Linked DNA regions of Caenorhabditis elegans. The protein of the gene in region 2 interacts with the protein of the main gene of each other region in a biochemical or structural test. Each region holds a gene or a part of one and is shown on either strand. Other genes may lie near its edges.

Region 1 (7,646 bases), on a different chromosome or scaffold from region 2:
ATAATTTTCAGTCATATGTGAACTTATTGAGTGCCTTCTGTTTATACAATTTGGATTGTTTAAATAATTATGAAATTTCATTTTTTCGATAAACATTGCAATTTTATTATATTTTTATAACAATAAAAATATGTGAACTTTTTGAACTATTTTGATTGTTTTAAATGGATTTTTTCAAGAGTCTCAATTATTTTCAGAAATTTTTAATAAATTATATTTAACAAAATAGATCAGTATAGACACTCTTGATGAATATCAGATGTTTCAGCAGTTGACAACATTGAAAGACATAACACTAGATCAAAAGTATTCAATTTTAATAGTTTTGGATACGCCACATTAATAAAATAATTTGCTGCAATAAAGTTTTAAAAAAACTTGATAAAATTTGGTGCTTATACGATTAATCACATACGTCACTGTTTACACCTTTCTTAATCCAAGATTTATTTATGTACCTACGTCTATTTTCGAATAGCTGAAAACAACTTTTCTATTTCAGTATACATATTTATATTTCAGATTGTTAATAACACTGCCATCAAACTCTTATAACAGGTAAATTTTAAGGTACTTAATACATACCGTATTTTAGAATATTGTTCAGATATCCCACAGCAAAAAAAAACAATCTGATTTGGATACCTCTCAAGAAATAACAAAAGCTTCTCCAAGCTGGCATATCTAATTTCAAATCTTTTTCCCTTTTTTCCGGACCCACACCCAATTTTCTCCTTCTTCTGTCCTCATCTCCGCTTTTCGACACTTCTCACAGATACACACACAAATACACGCACGGAGCCCTTCTTCTTCGTCCATCTAGGGACACCCGTCCCTTGCTCTCCGTTTCCATCTCCTTGCGTCCTATTTCTCATGTCTGACCGGCTGTCCATTACAAGCGAGTCTGTCTCCAACAAAGACAACACTATGTCTCGTTCTCTTTTCTCCGTTTTGGTTTCATCTCACTTTCTGTGTCTCTCTCACTTCTCTTCCTTTCTCAACAAAACGGGCGCATACCCTTTTACGGGGGGTGGGACCTTCTTCTCTTCGTCTCTTCTATGAATGTCCCTCGATTTTCGCAGATCAGCAAAATGATTCGGACAGGAAACTTAATTTCCCGGAGTTCTAGATTTTGTTCATTTATTTAAAAAAAACGTTTTTGTCTCGGAGAAATATCGTTTTGTGATCGGACAGAACAAGGGATAGGCACGTGGTTTGTGAGCGAACGGAAAACAGTAAAGTCTGTCAATATTGCTTTTGCTCGGCTTTATACTTTTTTATTCCTTGGTGAACAAAAATCTTTCACAATTTTCCCTTTTTCCTCTTTTCTTGTAATTTGGGTAATTTTCATTCAAACGCCTATAATATTTACGATAATTGAAAATTCAAAAAAAATTTCTTCAATTGGAGTTGGATTATCGTACCTAAATTATTCTTGAATAAGCGATCAAAGTAATTTCGCTTTCCTGCTAACTTCATCCGATTTTCTTCATTTTTTAAAGCTGCGATATGATTCGAACCTTTTTTTTGTCAAACTTTCAAATATTTTGTGACAAAAAGTAAGGATAAATGTTAAATTATTGCAATTTTCTTTCAAATCTTAAAAAAATCAAGAAAAATCCCACTGGCGCTACGTTCAAAATCACATCTGCGCATATACTAAGCCTGTGATCTTAAAATTTAGTTATTGTTTCATGGTTTTCTTTTCCTTCAATTTTCCTCATATTTCCTGAATGCACATAATTGCAGAGAAATTGACGCCTCAGAGTTTCTCTGTTATTTTTTTTTCTAAATGCCACAGTTAAATTTTTCAGATCACTAATGATGAGAATCAATCTATCCACAATATTTAACCAATTTTATTAACTTTCCAAAGAATATCCAAATGTCGTTCTTCTTGCGAGAAATTGATGGTGAACGAGTGTGTTCCACGAGCACCGAAACGTCGATTCCTGAAGATAGGAAAAGTGCACGAAGACTGAGAAAATTGCTATACAAATGTGCCGAGAACACATGCAAACCGGATATTCTCAGGGTTCCAGCACATTGCGGGAAACTCGATAAAGAAGAAGGTTAGTATATTTTTTTGTAGTTTGGAGAAGTATAAAATAATAAAAATAAAAATAATTTTTAATTTCAGAGAAATCCAAAACACCTCTGGACCAGCAACAACAAATTAATTTTCATGATATTCTGAACTCAAAATTTGTTGTGGGACCACCTTCGCCTTTTGCTTTAGTAGCAATTGCCAAATCAATTCTTGCACGGTTTGGGAATCCAGAAGAAGTTTCTGAAAAAGAAGATGGAAGCGAAGAGGAAGCCGGAACCAGTGGAGCTGATGAAGAGGGAAAGCAATACAAAAATGTGAGTTTTTATAATGTTAAAAAGTATTAAATGAAAAATACATTGAAATTTCTAATTAAGTTTCAAAGTCAACAGCCAAATTTTTTCTAAATTTTTTTTCGAAACGTAGTTAAGAAGCTTGCAAAACTGGGACATAGGTCGGCAAGGAAACCAGAAAAAACAATTATGAAACCGTGTTTTACACATTGACGATATCCCCCCAGCTAGATTCAAAATTGTTTCCTTTTTAAACGCTAAAAATAGAATATGGTTTGAAAAATAATTATTTGAAATTGAACCGGTGAGTAATAAAACAATTTTGGAATACTAAATTACCATAAATTTCAAAATGGAACTGAACATATAACTCTACAACTTTTTGGAACCCGTGTGTGAAATACTTTTTCTTATTAAAAACTGTTTTAAAAGGTGAAAAATGGTTCAGCTCTCATGAATTTTCAGACTGATCAGCTGGTTGGAGCTAGTTTAACATGTATCTTCGAAGTTCTCGAGCAATTAAGTCGACGTGACGCCGAACTTTGTGTTCAAGCTCTCGAATCATTGTTATCATTGATCCAATCGATGCCAATCGATTGTCTTCAGTCCGAAAACCGTTTATCAATGTCTGCAATGATGCACGTTCTGAAAACGCTTCGAGAAGATGCCTGTCCCTCAGTGAGCTCAAAAGCTACCTCATGCCTTGTGGCTTTATCAGTTGCATGTGGAGAGCCGGAGCATTTAGGAAGCACAATTCGATCATTAATTTGTATGAAGAAAAATATTCGAATGAGCGCCGATTCGACGTATGATATGATCCAAATGCCAGAAAATTTGAGAAAATTACTACTGAAAGTGAGGAGGAAAGCTTTAGGCGGAGACAACACTGCCAATTCCCCGTGAGTATTTTATTCAAGTTGAAAGTATTCAAATATGTAGTATTGTGTTCACAAATTTCTTCTTTTAGTAGAATTTCTTAGAAGCTTGCAAAATCCCATGATAGTTTTATTAGTATTTTATTAAATGCAAAATTTCAGACCAAACTGGGCAATGGTAGATGTTCACGAGCACTCGGTAGCAAGCAGTTTCAGTCTACCTAGTCTTCCTGATAGCTCTCCGTCTTCCGACACTCCCGACGATGACAATCGAATACATAGCACAATGGCATGTGATGGAACATTTCTCTACATTCTTAATTATGTTGGACTCTACAAGTTGGGGACCGGCCTGAATGAAACAATTTCTGGAAAGTTGTATGCAGCGAATCAGAGTTTACAATCGTCGAAAAATGTGCAAATGTATTTATGCAATGGATCATTGTATTTACGAAGAAATTACTCATCATGCATATCAGTGATTGACACGGATTCATTGTTGGATATTGGAGAAGTGATTCTACCACCAAGTTGTGTACAACATGCACTGTTCACGGATGGAACATACTTTTACAGTGCAACTCTGATTGCCAATTCTACACTATCGGTAGGATTTATTCTCTCAAATTAAAAATTAAGATATTTAATTGAAACTATTTTTAAACACTTTTAATCGTGAAAATTCTACTTATTGTTAGAAATAAAAACACATAACATGACAGCTCAAAAAAGTTTATAAATAACATATTTCAGACAATTCAACTAAATGATTCATTTTCCCCTTCCAATGAGCCATCATCACGAAGAAGTCATCGACTCACTGATGTGAAGTTCACGATTCAAGGAGATCTTCAAGTTCCTCACCAACTCCCCGAATTTCTACCTGCAAACCTTCATCGTAAGAATAGTAGTTTTGTTTACATGGAAATTTGAACATATCAATTTTCAGCTCAAACTGTTGATCTTCACTTCACTCGAGAAATGGCATTCATTCAAGCTCGCTCTGGAAAAGTGTACTACGCTGGAAACGGGACAAGGTTCGGATTATTTGAAACTGGGAACAACTGGATGGAACTGTGTCTTCCCGAGCCAATAGTTCAAATTTCTGTTGGAATTGATACAATAATGTTTCGTTCTGGTGCAGGGCATGGTTGGATTGCAAGTGTAGACGATAAGAAAAGAAATGGAAGACTACGTCGACTTGTTCCATCTAATCGCCGGAAAATTGTTCATGTTTGCGCCTCTGGTCATGTCTATGGATATGTATCTGAAAATGGAAAGATTTTCATGGGAGGACTTCATACAATGAGAGTGAATGTTTCAAGTCAAATGTTAAATGGACTGGATAATGTGATGATTTCTTCATTAGCGCTTGGAAAATCTCACGGTGTTGCTGTGACTCGAAATGGCCATCTTTTTACATGGGGATTGAACAATATGAATCAATGTGGAAGAGTTGAATCAACTTCAACCACGTCTTCTCCAAGACATTCCGGTCGTCAAGAGTATCAGATTTGTCCTATCGGAGAACACACGTGGCTAACTGACACACCCTCGGTATGTGCTCAATGCGGGCTTTGCTCCGCACGAGGAGTAGCATGTGGAAGAGTTCCTCGACCAAAGGGAACCATGTGTCATTGCGGTGTTGGAGAGTCAACATGCCTTCGATGTGGACTTTGCAGACCATGTGGAGAGGTTACAGAACCAGCACAGCCTGGTAGAGCTCAGCATGTGCAATTCAGTTCAACAGCTGCTCCTCAAAGAAGTACTCTACATCCGTCACGTGTAATTTTAAGTCAAGGACCTCATGATGTAAAAGTTTCAAGCGTAAGCTGTGGAAATTTTCATACAGTACTTCTTGCATCTGATCGAAGAGTTTTCACTTTTGGATCCAACTGCCATGGCCAATTAGGAGTTGGAGATACACTTAGCAAAAACACTCCGCAGCAAGTCATTCTTCCATCTGATACAGTTATAGTCCAAGTTGCCGCTGGTTCAAATCACACAATTTTGAGGGCAAATGATGGAAGCGTTTTCACATTTGGTGCATTTGGAAAAGGTCAGCTAGCACGACCAGCTGGCGAGAAAGCTGGATGGAATGCGATCCCTGAAAAAGTTTCTGGTTTTGGTCCTGGATTCAATGCATTCGCTGGATGGATCGGAGCCGATGGTGATTCTTCAATCATCCATAGTCATACAGCTTTATTATCTTCTGATAATATTCTGAAAGCTCAAATTGTTGCAAACAAAACGAATATTTTCATTTTCCCAAGAGAAGTTGGTAAAGACTACATTGTAATAAGACGAAAGTTGAATGTTTTTGAACATCATGCGAGCGATTACAAATGTTGGTATACATCATGGGCCACTGATCCGAAGTATGACATGCTGTGGTATTACAATTCAGCAGAAATGGAAATCAAAGGATATGACATTTTCAAAAAATCTGAAAAATCTGTGGGCGATGCATTTGATTCCCTAACTTTCCTAGCTGGTGCCGAATTTGCTGTCCAAGTGTACGACAGTCCTGCTTATGCAACTTCGATGAGTCTTGGAATGCAACTTTTATCAGCAACATTCTCAGCAAATGTTATCAATTTATCTGAATTCTGGAAGGAAAAACATGGGGAACGAGAACAGGATCACGAGAAAACAATTATGGATGGTTATTCAGTTGCAAATCGATTTGATGGTACGGGAGGTGGTTGGGGATACTCGGCAAATTCTGTTGAAGCTATCCAATTTAAAGTCTCCAAGGAAATTCGATTAGTAGGAGTTGGGCTGTATGGAGGACGAGGAGAATACATATCGAAGCTCAAGTTATATCGACAAATTGGAACAGAAGCTGATGAGTTATATGTGGAGCAGATCACTGAGACTGATGAAACAGTTTATGATTGTGGAGCACATGAGACTGCAACTCTTTTATTCTCACAACCAATAGTTATTCAACCAAATCATTGGCATGTAGTCAGTGCAAAGATAAGTGGTCCTTCTTCTGATTGTGGAGCAAATGGAAAACGTCATGTCGAGTGCGATGGAGTAACATTTCAGTTTCGAAAATCTGCTGTGTCAAACAATGGAACTGACGTAGATGTTGGACAGATTCCGGAGCTGTATTATCAAATTGTCGGTGGATCTGAAAGTCGTGACGAATCGGATTCGAATAAACAGCTGTCAATCAGTAGAGACATGTCAAATCTCTTTTCACCTGCTGCACTGAAAAATGTCACAGCGGAAGGAATTGGTAATTTGCTGATACTTTTGGAGTGGGCTTTACAACGCGTTCAAATTGATGAAGATACAAACAATCAAGTTGAAGGAAGTGCTGAAAATCAATGGAGTCAGGAAAGAGCAGGATTTGTTGCTATTTTAAGCATGAAGCTTATATCAAGATTCGTAAGAACAGTGTACAAAGAGAAGGGATGTCATGATGAACCAGGAATTGATTTTGCTAATAAGTTGGTAAATCTGCACTCAATGCTCTTAGAATTCTTCTTTTCAACCGATATGACTGGATATGAAAATCGTCCATTAATTAAAAAAGAAGAAAAGGTTGTTGAAGAAGGGTATACTCTGATGAAGTGTGTGTCGGAAGCGGTTAAGCTATTCATTTCTCTTTCTCACTGCTTTATGGGATCAAGAAGTCTCATGAATGCTCATCTTATCGCTGTCATGAACAAAGGAAATCATGAAGCTTTGATCCTAACATCTGCAATTATTGGATCCCTTGCTAAAATTGAACGGTTTGCTCATCAACTTCTATGCTCGACTACCACAACTGAAAGATTTCCAATGCTGTCATCACTTCTTCTGAAACATTTCAATTGTGAGAAAGAAACACTCGCGTCTCTCACTTCATTTCCAAATATTCTTCGATTTCTTTACGATCAAACTTTTATGAGAAATGCGTACGAAAACACGTCAAGTTTGGCTGAGGCCATTTTGGTCAAGGTATCGAGAGATCTTGCCATTCCGACAGATGATACTCTTATGGGACCAGTAGTACATCAAACTTCGTCGAGGTTCAGAAGAAGAAGTGCACAACCTACTTGGGATATGTCTGATGGATGTGCAGATGCAATTGCTTTTAGAGTGGACTCCGAAGGGATAAAATTACACGGTTTTGGAATATATCTTCCAACTGAACCAGACCGACGGAATTTCGTTGGAGAAATAATGATGTTGTCTCCAGATTCATCTGAAAAATGGACATGCCTTCTTCGGGTTACTGCTGAAATGTCGTCTGAAGAAAAAGAAGTTGGAATTGTTAGATTTCCAGAATATGTACTTCTTTCTCCAGGTGTCACTTACGCTGTCAAAGTTAACATGATGAAAAATACAAAGACATTCTGCGGAGAAGGTGGAGTCACTCAAGTGCATCTACTCAATGGAGCCCGCTTGTTTTTCTCAGGATGCTCAATGAGCCAA
Region 2 (11,692 bases):
GGTCCTTCCACCCCAGATCCCCGATGAGATCCTTGATGAAGCTAACGAAATCGTGCCAAGTAAGTTTCATCATTTCAAGTATAAAGTTTTCATCAAAAATTGCAGGAATCGCCATGGCGGACTCCTTCTCGGATCTCGAGTCAATCGCAGACTCGGCCGTCGCCGAATCAGCACGCGCACCCGGCGAATTGGTGGAGTAAAAGAGTTCAATTTAGTTTCTGCTTGTACTGCAGAGTAATTTTTCTATAATCGCTGGACCTAATATTCTCGCTTTACATTTTTCCACTACCTCTATTTTAATCTTTACATCTTAAAGTCTGTGAACTCTTTTCAATAAACAAAAAGTTACTCGAAGATTCTTGACAGAATGCTTCTCTTCATGGTTTCATAGAAAGCTTATCTAGTCGGTTGGTTCTCCCGCCCGGAACACAAGAACAGCTTTTCTACTTTGTTTTTCAGAGAGCTTATCCTGTATTTTTGCTCAAAGTTAGGGGCTCCCGGGCTTCACCTTCCGACAGGAACCTGGAACTCAGGGACCATTGACATTCAAGCACAAAGACCACCCTGAGCATTATGCACCGGTTCCGGTCTTTGTGCTCGCTTGTCAATGGTCCCTGCGAAAAATCACTTGACTCATCATTATTTTCTTCATGGCAACAGTTGCCTCACCCCCTCACTTCCCTCCTGGCCGGGCTTTCTATCCGTTTTTGCAACTTCAGTTCTCGGAAATCTTTACACTTATTTGTGTTTTCGCCGCTGTGATTGCGAAATTGTTAAATGTGATAAGAGATATTTTCTAAGCAAATATTGGAGCAAACAATTACTCTTTTTTTCGTGGGAGTTAGGTTGAAAACCTTTTAGATATAATTTGGCAGCAGATTATGATAATCTTATACTAGTTATGCCAGTTATAATCCGTTCTCTCGTTTTTTTTTGGACTTTAGCTGACAATGACCTAGGGCCCAAAACCGGCAAATCGGCAAATTGCCGGAATTGAAAATTTCCGGCAAATCGGCAAACTGCCGGAATTGAAAATTTCCAGCAAATCGGCAAATATCCGGAATTGAAGATTTCCAGCAAATCGGCAAATTGCCAGAATTAAAATTTCCGGCAAATTGGCAAATCACCGAAATTAAAAGTTCCCGGCAAATTGGCGCATTGCCGGGATTGAAAATTTCCGGCACTTGCCAAAAATTTTTTGGCAAATTGTGGTTTTGCACTTTTTTTTTGTAATTTCAGAATTTCAATTTCAATCGGCAAAATTGTACGAATTCCACAAATGTTTCTACAGCTATTTTGAAAACAAACAAATTCTATGAAAATATCTAAAGATAACGAGATAAAAATTTCAAAAAGGCACAGTTTTAAGTGTTGCCGTCTTATAAAAAATCCCTCTAAACATTTCCAACAATCGGCAAACCGGCAATGTCTGAATTGAAATTTTCCGACAAATCGGCAAACCGGCAATATGCCGATTTGCCGAACTTATCGAAAAAAAATTTGCCTAACAACAATTGCCGCCCACCAATTGGATCAATCAATTTGACCCAAATTTTCTATATGAGAAAAAGTTTGTTACCTTTGAGAAAATGCAATTCAAAAATAGTTTTTAAAAAATGCCAAAATAGGATTCTGTGCAATTTTTTACTAGTTGATGAAAAAAAATTTTCCCGTCCAGTTATCGGCTTCTACCCAAGTATTGCTTGAATTAGCAACTCTCTCCTCACCCTTAATCCCTGTCTCCAGTGTTAGAATTAGCGCGTTTGTTAATCGTTTTCTCCTTTTCTCATATCAATCTCCTCACTTGTTTCCTTCATCTTCTACTCTTTACGCTCCGATTTCGTAATTCCAATGTGTTTTTAAAACCGGTTTGCCTCGGAGAACTGTCAAAGATATCATCAATCTTCGATGAGATTCGTCACTGTGAATGGCGGGAAAACAGTGACACCGGAAGGTACCGTTCGGTTCCTAGGGCGGACCAATTTGGAGTAGCCAGGTTGTAGAAGATTGATTAAGGCCAGTAAAGAACATTGGGGACCTCAAAAATTACGAGAACCTTCAATAAGCAAACAATACGAACTTCAAGAAGCGTCATATGCATTTCCAAGTGCATTTACATAGTTTTTGGCAAAATCGTTACTAAAATGTGCTGATAATGAGTCAGTTCTGCAAATTGTGACCAATTTTCCGGGAAAAAAACCTTATCACTTTTCAAATACCTCGCGCCAAGTCGTCTGCATTTTCCAAACAAAACTTGCAAACCTTGAAAAAATCCATTTCCGTCGCGCTGCCAATGGCCTCGCTTGTTGATCCACCTGTTCTCTCATCCCCTCCGAAAACTACCTGATTCAAGTTCAAGCGGCGGCCCGGGAGTTCGCAAACGTGTGGTCAGGCAGAGACAACAAGAAAACTTCAAGAGACCGCCGTTTGGAGAGACGCAGAGAAGAAGCGTGGAAGGGCCCCCGCGGCGGTTTCCCCCCATCGCTTCCCTCATTTCATTCTCCCATCTCTCCACATTTTTCCTCATCTTTTTTTTCGCTTTTTTCTAGTCCAGAAGACGTTGAGGCACGACACTTTTTGGTGGTCATTTTCTTGTGTGACGCGGCTGGGCAATCGATTTTTATGCTTCTCTAGGGGCTTTGGAAATGGGCTGAAAGGTCGAAATGTGCTCATTCTCCAGTAGTTCTTCAATCTTTATTTCGCTATCAGTAATTTAACTTTCCTCATAATTTTTCTAGCCCTTCTCGAAAAAAATCTCTCCACTGACAAATTTTTAACATTTTCCATACTTTAATAATCTAATAATAACAACCAATGCTCACTTTCCTTCGCCTAGTACCTCTTTTCAATCAAAAATTGCATTGATGAGTAATTCAAACATGTAGAGCGACGACGGGTGAATAGAAAAGACACACGTTTGCCCCTCTCATACAAACAGGTGATCGTCCTCTACGGGCACCCAAGGGAGACGCAGACGGTGAGGTGATTCTCTAGAACAATTCATTGTCGTTTTTTTTTTGTGGAAGAAAACTGGGTTGCTAGGCTTACAATTAGAATCACTTTTTTTAGAGAGACTCAGCTCTGACGTGAGGATCTTCTAGGTGAAAATTGAAGCGTATAACATTTTTAAAAACCAAATAACCTTTCGAGAACGTGGTGTCAGGCTGTCTCAATACAGTTTGATCTACAAAAAATGCGGGAATTTTTTATGGGAAAAATTGTGACGCACTTCTAGGCGCTTGCCCAGAAATTCCGCACCTTTTTCAGACAAGCTAAGCACTGTAAAATTTAAAATTCTAGACCCAATATACTTTGTTTCCTGAAACATCATCATGTCCCTCCAGTTTTATCGCAACAATGTTGTGATGACGTAGTGGCTTCTTGTTCTTTTTCCATTTTTTTTGAGCCATGTAATTTGAGCAATTATATACGATAGGGGTTCAGCGTTGGAAAGACTAAACTTATTATAGCCACCTAGATTTTTACGCGATCATGGACCTACATCCAACTAACAATATACTTGTTGATCTTTTTCACTGGATTATTCAGATAACAAAGTTCATTTATTTCAAGATTTTATTAGTTTCAACAGGTTTGAGCTATGCCTTCCGCAAAAGCTTTTGTGCAGGCCCAAAAACCCTAGGCCCCTTTCGGCCCCTAAGGTGAACTGTCCTTTATCACCCTACCGGTCATTCACTACCGGCAAAACTCTAGCCAAGTTGGGGTGTGGCCAGAGTTATGGAAAAGTGTTCCTCCTTGAACACTTTTTAGTAGTTTTTTTTATAACAATTCTTCTCGCCAACATTCTCGACTCAAAAGTTATACTACCCTCTCTCTCTCCCTCATAATTTCTATTTTTATCACATTGACGCACTAACTCAAATAGGTGATGACGCAGTGGCTACTCGTTCTTATTTTTATTTACAATACTATATTTTTCGAATAAAACGGGGGCTAATAGTAAGGATTTTCAGCCGAGTAAAGATTTTTGACCCTCACCCCCTTCCACCACCCCCACAATTATAATCCCTTTTTCACTCCCTCTCAACTACCACTTTTTATTCCTTTTCCCCTTCTTCTTCTCATGTTCCGGTCGTTTTCCTCCCTCTTCTTAGAGCATTCAAAAAGTGAGCTTCCGATTGAGATGTTTGTGTATGTGTGTGTGGCGAGGTAGCATGGCAACGGAGCACGCCTGCCATGGAGCCAGGCACCCTCATCTGAAAATTCATAGTTATTTCCATGTGACTCCCGCGATTACGGTCACCGCCACGCCCTGAAAATGTTACTATCGGTTTGCTCAGTTCTTATTTTTTTTTGCTGATAAGAGAGTCTTCTCGCTAACTCACTGTAGAAATTTGTCATTTTTTGTGTTTATAGGGGGCCTCCCGATGGGGTTGAGGGAAGGGGTCTTCCTCGTGCCCCACTGACAACAGAGATAGGTTATATGGTTCAACATTACTTAGATTCAATTTTGGAGGTACAGTTTCCGGCAGGGGGTACACCGTAATCTAGGCAACCTTACTGTTTTGGGGAACTAATTGTAAGGAGTATTTAGCTTCAAAAACTAACTACATATATAAAAGTGCTTGTTAAATTTACTTTGTTTTTTTTTCGGGATTCCCTCATAAATTAAAATGCAAGAGTTTGCCGAACTAGGCCATTTTGGCTCGGCCATATCTGGAACAGATTTACGGCGCGTTGCGTATCGCGTAGCGGCTCGGTTTTAGTTGTAAAAAAATGTACCTGCCCGTATGGTGTACGCGACTTTCCCACGCGTTGTCCGGCAGACGATTGTCAATGGAGCGCAAAACTGCAATGAGGAAATCCAGACCCCTGTGCCTCATAACAGGTACCCTAGTACTAACTAAGGTTCCCTAGTACTAACTTTTCGTCTATCTACCGGGTCATGTGCTCTATCAGAGCCACTTTTTGAACTCCAATGTCTCTTGACACTTATCCGATAGCTTGTGTGGGCTGCCAAGTTTGCTTATGACTATCTTGCTAATGACTACCTTGCTGATGATGAGGAAGAGAGCAGACAAGAGTCGCCTGCAAAGAAAGTTTGCCCCAGAAACTTATGTGAGTACTAACGTTATAAATCTAGGGCCTTACGACTGATTTAGTTTCAGGTGTTGCTCGTAAAAATAAGAAGCTTTGTGTGACCTAGGTCCTCGGTGACTGCGACAAAAATGTTTGTTTGTTTTTTTCTGGATCTTTTTTTTTTCCTTTTTTTTGGAACGAAAAAATTTGCAAAAAAATTTTCCCGTGGTGGAGAGTTGAACTCATCTCGTCTCGAATCTCAAAATTTTTGAACTGATCTATAGTTTCGCCCCAGAGAAGACGACGACTTGAATTCCTGTACACCGCGCATGATCGCCCCGGATCCTCTCCCTTTCTCTTCATACGCATCACGTCATCCGTCCTCAATTCCGATACAACATTGATTTTGTCCGTTTTGCAATTACCTTTTTTGACTGCCAAGCTTAAAAAAAACTATTTTTTTCAGATAAAATGACATCTACCACAATGGTAACCACTCTCGACTTGGTCACACCAACATCAGGTACAATTTTTGTGGGGGGGCATGGTGCATCGATTTACGGCGCAAATCAAACTTGGGGGTTCCAAAATCATGGTGCATCGACTGACTATTGCTAGCTTTAAGTTTCAGCTGTTTTGAGTTAGTGTTTTCCACGTGGAACACAATTTTGACCTAACGTTAAACCCCTCATCCCATACCCCCGACATATCTGCGTCTCCGCGCTTTTCTCCAAGACACGGCCCCGCCGCCGGCAAATCGACGTCGCGTAAGCCACGTGGAAGTTTTTACGGGGAATGCAAATAGTGAGACGACGGCGACGCCTTATTATCAGTAATTCTCTGACCATATGATGTTTTTTATAGGTTTATGGGCATAAGTCATAGATAGGTTGCATAACTTTTTAGATAATTTTGCAGAATAAATGGGCTGTTTGAGCAAAATTACTGTCGTTTTTAGATCAAAACTTACCAAATTTTTACCCAAAACTACTACTGATGTTTATTTTTTGGCTACAAATTGACAAACGTTCGTATAAAACTTGACAACATTAGACGAAAATGGCAAAAAAATAGTTGTTTTCCATCAGTTTTCCATCAAAACATACATACAATAAAAGCAAAGGTTTAGCTGAAATTTTGAGTTTCTAAGGTAAAAACGGCTATTTTTTTGTATTTCTCAAGTTGTCTTGATTAAAGTTCCAAATTCTATTTTAAGCCTCATTCCCAAACTAATTAACCCCTCTCCGCGAGTGCCCAGCCCGGCTCTCTGCTTCTCTGCGTCTCCTGTTGTCGCCTCGAATGGCATGACTCTATTTTTGTTGTGCTTCGTGTGCTCCACGACTCGCGTGACGTCAATGAGCCAAAGAGGGACCCGTTGAGCTGCTCTAGCCAAAATGAGTCAGACGTGTAGCTCAAGGGACCCGGAAAGGCACTTGCGAAATCGCTGCTCTTGCAGAGGGAAGGGGCACCTTAAAAATGAATTTTTTGGGATAAAAATTTTCAAAAAATATTTTGCCGATCAAAAACTGTTTCTGATGAATCACAGCAAAGAGAGACATAGAGAAAACCAGAGTGAAAAATCGCAATATGGCGCCACCAGGCCAATGTGCGCGCGGCAGTAAATACATACACTTGAACTTTTTGTTTTTCTTCGATCCAACGAACTTTTCCCTTTAAACTCCTTTTTTTCAGAAGAACAACCGGGTCCTGCACCGGAGTCCTCCGACTTCTCTACAGTAGTCCTGAGTCCGGATGGGTCGGAGCTTGTGACACAAAGTGCTCCAAACACACCGATACAGCATCGGGAGCAGGCGAACGCGGAGTTCGGACAGAAAGAAGGTAAGTAGAAGTTCGCAAAGGCACTAGGAAAGCGCCAAAACACGAGATCTGCGCCAAAACACTAGAAGTGCGTTAAGGCACTGAAAATGCGTCAGCACTTCTTTGCGCTTTTCTTGTGCCTCGGCGCGGTTATGCTGCCTTTCCTCCTGATTTTCAACAATTGTCCCCTGTCGAGAAATGCGCTAAATCACTTGATCTACGAATAGACAAAAATACGTCAATGCACGATAAATGCGCCAGCAACTTCATTGGCGCTTTTCTCGTGCCTTTGCGCATTCCTCGGCGACGATCCTTTCCCTCGTGTTCTACCATCTCCAAATTTTTTTTGCAAAAAAAACCGCCAAATGTGTATTTTCTCATCCCCACCGCTTCCCGCACACACGTCACTTTTTTCTCTGACATCTCTCTGTACTCTCTCACATTCCCACACTGTCTCTTATCACTTGCCGACTGCATATTGATTCAGCGAAACAATACGCACATTTCCATCAAAATATACTAAAGAAAACGTGATCTTTTTCCACTAAAAATTCAAAATTTTCAGGATCCCCAGATCCCAAAAATATGGTGGCTGCGACCGGGAACGCGTCGAAACCCAGCCTGAACAGCTTCTACGCAGATGGGCTCGGACAGCTTAGGAATGGGCTCTTTTCGTGTTTTCAGCCAGTTTTTGGATATTTCGGGACTAAAACTACAGTTGAAATGTGAGTTTTAAATATTTTTTTTTTGATTGAAAATTCAATTTTCCAGTGAAAAATCCGAGGATGAACTATGGGAGATCCCATTCGACGCTATCTCCGAACTTGAATGGCTGGGCTCCGGGAGCCAGGGAGCAGTGTTTCGTGGTCAGCTGGAAAACCGAACTGTCGCTGTGAAAAAGGTCAATCAACTGAAGGAGACCGAGATCAAGCATCTTCGACATCTCCGTCACCAGAATATCATTGAATTTCTCGGAGTTTGCTCAAAGAGCCCGTGCTACTGTATAGTGATGGAATATTGCTCAAAAGGACAACTATGTACTGTATTGAAGTCAAGAAATACAATAACCCGAGAACTTTTTGCTCAATGGGTTAAGGAAATTGCTGATGGAATGCACTATTTGCATCAGAACAAAGTGATCCACAGGGATCTCAAATCGCCCAATATTCTAATCTCCGCTGAAGATTCAATTAAAATTTGTGATTTTGGAACGTCTCATATGCAAAAGAAAATGGATAGTACTATGATGTCATTCTGTGGAACTGTTAGGTAAGTTGGAACTTGGCTTAGGCTTAGGGTTCTTAAATTTGGCTTGGGCTTAATCTTAGACCTAAGCTTGGTTGTAATGAACTTCAACATTTTCAGCTGGATGGCCCCAGAAATGATAAAAAAACAGCCATGCAACGAAAAAGTCGACGTCTACTCATTTGGAGTTGTGCTCTGGGAGATGCTCACCAGAGAGACGCCATACGCAAATATTGCTCAGATGGCAATCATTTTTGGTGTTGGAACAAAGTGAGTTGTAGTTTGTTCCCTGATTTTCTGTTTTTTTTTCTGAAGATTCAAATAGCCAAATGTCCAGAAAACCATTTTAATAATCCTAAAAACCTTTTAATTTTCAGCATTCTGAGCCTTCCAATGCCAGAAGAAGCTCCGAAAGGTCTTGTACTTCTCATCAAGCAATGTCTATCTCAAAAAGGTCGCAATCGTCCCTCATTCTCCCACATCCGACAACACTGGGAGATCTTCAAGCCGGAACTTTTCGAAATGACTGAAGAGGAGTGGCAGTTGGCATGGGATTCTTACAGAGAGTTCGCGAAATGTATACAGTATCCGTCTACAGTAACCAGGGATCATGGTGGACCGAAAAGCGCATTTGCGATGGAGGAGGAAATACAGAGGAAGCGGCATGAGCAATTGAATCATATTAAGGTTAGAAATATTCTATTAGTTTTTAACTAGGCTTATAGGCTTAAAAGCTAAGTTTAAGCCTAAAGTTAAGCCTAAGACCAAACCTGAAACTAGCCTAATTGTAAACCTAAAACTCCAATTTCTTCCAGGACATCCGAAATATGTACGAGATGAAGCTTAAACGAACCAACAAAATGTATGACAAACTCCAAGGCTGCTTCACAGAGCTGAAACTCAAGGAAAGTGAGCTCGCCGAGTGGGAAAAAGATCTGACTGAACGGGAGCAGTGGCACAATCAGAACAGCCCGAAGGCAGTGGCGGCTCCGCGAGCACAGCTACGTGGATACCCGAATGAGGGATATGATGATATGTCGTCTGACGAAGATGTTCAACCGTGCCGAGGATCTCCGTATAGGTGCTCCAATACGAGCTCCTCGTCAGGAGTTCAGAGCTCTCCGTTCTCAAGGCAAAGCTCGAGCCGGAGCAGTGCTGGACAGCAAACGAGGAGAAGCGAGGGAGCGAATCCGCCAAGTGAGTATATTTTCCCTGAAAAATTGAACATTTAAGCTTTCGACAAAGCTAAAAATCAGGGAAAAATCTTAAAAACTGAAAAAGTTGTGGATTTTCAAAATATTTTCAAAGTTCAACTTATCTAAATTCTAGACCTTTTTCGAAAATTCATAACTTCGTTAGAATTTAAGATTATTCCAAAAAATGTATTACAAAATATAGCAAAGTTAATGAACAACTTGGCAAAAATATTTGATTCACTTATAACTACTTGGCTACATTATCCACGGGATTTCCGCGGGGAGACCTCAATTTTTTGCAAAAAAATCAAGTTTCCAAAAACCTCGACATGATTATACATTTCTAAAAGCTCTTGGTCCCCTCAATTTAAAAAAAATAGAAAAATTTCAGAAATCCTACGCAACGACGCCATACGTCATTCAGGGTCCTACTGGGAGACGCTGGGTGGGGCCCGTGGATCACCGGCCAGGGATTCCGGATTTTCTCAGGATTCCGGGATGTGGAGCGCTGGAGCCGGTAGCTGCACAGCTATTAATGGTGGAGGACAACAGGTGAGGAGGAAATTAATTTTTGGCACAAATATTTCGAAAAATTTCGATTTTTTTAAACTCAAAGTTTATCGATTTTCCTCAAATTTTCCAGGTTTGCTACTCCCAAACTCTGTACCGTAACGGTGACGGTCGCTGGTCGGACGGGCGCATAGCTTCACGTCGGAGGGTCTCCACGTCAGTCAACAAGTCAACTGCAGTCCCCGGACAGCCCGTCTTCTTTACACGTGACAGCCCGTCACGTGTCCCACACGGTGTGATCAGTTGCTCCTCTCGTATGTGCATGCTCTTTCCTTTTTCTGAGTTTTCTAATATTTTTTTTTGCATGGGACTTCTTTATTTTAGTTAGTTCCCACCACAAAGGGGTACTGTAGCTAGAGATCGATTTGGTTTTCCGAAAAAGTTTAAAAGTTTATCTTCATTTTTAGGCAATATTGAGCTGAAAATACCAAAAATTGACAGAGTTATGGATTTTCAAAAATTTTCGGAATTTTAAAAATTAAAAAATTTTTCGGAATTTTTCGAAATTTTTAAAATTTTCTACAGTAACTTTAAACTACCCTTAAAGATCCTAATTTTCGGAAAATTCATAATTTTCATGGAAAATTCAGAGCTTTCATTTGAGTATAATCATGGCTGGTTTTCTAAGTTTTGACCTAAAACTTTAATTTTCGCTTCGAGACCCAAAATGGGCGGAGTCAGGGTTATACGTCTCTAAATGCTCTTTTTTTTTGGAAATTTTTATGTAATAAAAATTAGCTCTAAATATTTGGAAGTTTAGGCAGAAAAGTTAATTTTTTGGAAAAAAAAGATATGCAAAAATATTTCGAAAATTCATAACTCCGACAGTTTTTAAGTTTTCGCAGTAATTTTTGTTTTAAAATTTTGCAAATTTCAAGGTCTTGCCTGGAAAAATATGGTTATGGCCTAGGTTAAAAAATTCTAGACCACCAGCTAGATTTCTAGGCCACACCAGTTTTTGAGGTTGTTTAACTGCATGGTTTTCTGCCCTTTTCTTTAAATTCTAACACTACATTTTTTTCCAATAAACTTCCAACTTACTAAATAAGCTTTAATTTTCAGCCCGTTCAAGCTCAAAGCTCAACCGTTCATCCTATCCATCTCGAAATGCTCCTCACCAGCTCGAAGACGGCTGCTGCTGTGCTCACGCCCGTGCTCCGCGAGCAAAATCAATTGCTGTGCCGATGACGTCATCATCTAGAGCCCGGAGCCCAACTCCATATGACAATGATTTTGAAAATGCCGAGAGCTTCGTGGATCCGGAATCTCCGAAAAATTTGAAAAATTTGGAAAAAATCGTAAACTTGCCAGAGTCCACGTCCTACGACGAGGCTTTATGCAATAGTGATGTGACAATGAACCCGATTTACACGTCACCAATCACCACCTACAGTAACCCGTGCCACGTGGAGCTGGTGGACGAGGAAAACGCAAATGACGTGGATCTGACGTCATCGATGGATTCCCGACGATCCCGCTCCGACGATGCTGATGTTGAATCTTCGGAAGAAGATGAGGGAAATGGAAATAATATTCTGAATACTTCTATGGAATCTGAGGATCTTCGATATCGAATTGACACGTCTCAGAGTACTATGATGAGCTCATTGGAGAGAAGTCTGGAAATTGGAGCCACCCGGTCCGATGGGCTTAGTGATAATGAGATGAGAGTTCAGGCGGTCAAAATGAGCATCAAAACGCACAGGAGAACCGGATCGGTGAGTTTTATTTTACATTGAAATTTAAGTTTGGCTCCGCCCACTTAATGGTTCGTCAAGTTTGGCGAAATACTAGGGAATTCTCCAAAACCTCACGAAATATCG

Evidence for each region. The genes of interacting proteins can lie anywhere in the genome.
Region 1: of the proteins of dlk-1 (region 2) and rpm-1, one has a biochemical effect on the other in vitro, tested with the Caenorhabditis elegans proteins (one study listed by BioGRID).

Annotation. Positions count from the first base shown.
Region 1 is NC_003283.11:8,814,195-8,821,840, reverse strand, and holds the start of rpm-1 (E3 ubiquitin-protein ligase rpm-1), read left to right. Parts: upstream 1-1,885; coding exon 1,886-2,072; intron 2,073-2,140; coding exon 2,141-2,364; intron 2,365-2,805; coding exon 2,806-3,239; intron 3,240-3,377; coding exon 3,378-3,822; intron 3,823-3,968; coding exon 3,969-4,113; intron 4,114-4,164; coding exon 4,165-7,646.
Region 2 is NC_003279.8:12,566,616-12,578,307, reverse strand, and holds the start of dlk-1 (Mitogen-activated protein kinase kinase kinase dlk-1), read left to right. Parts: upstream 1-5,506; 5' UTR 5,507-5,511; coding exon 5,512-5,563; intron 5,564-6,732; coding exon 6,733-6,879; intron 6,880-7,423; coding exon 7,424-7,583; intron 7,584-7,629; coding exon 7,630-8,127; intron 8,128-8,223; coding exon 8,224-8,373; intron 8,374-8,480; coding exon 8,481-8,790; intron 8,791-8,918; coding exon 8,919-9,300; coding exon of another isoform or gene 9,301-9,335; intron 9,336-9,690; coding exon 9,691-9,851; intron 9,852-9,942; coding exon 9,943-10,123; intron 10,124-10,931; coding exon 10,932-11,587; intron 11,588-11,692. Other genes in the region: F33E2.10 (DUF4817 domain-containing protein), read left to right, coding at 1-59, 106-200. UniProt on the Caenorhabditis elegans protein: Component of a MAP kinase pathway that functions presynaptically to regulate synaptic architecture and presynaptic differentiation. Phosphorylates and activates mkk-4. Has a role in axonal regrowth following injury and synaptogenesis.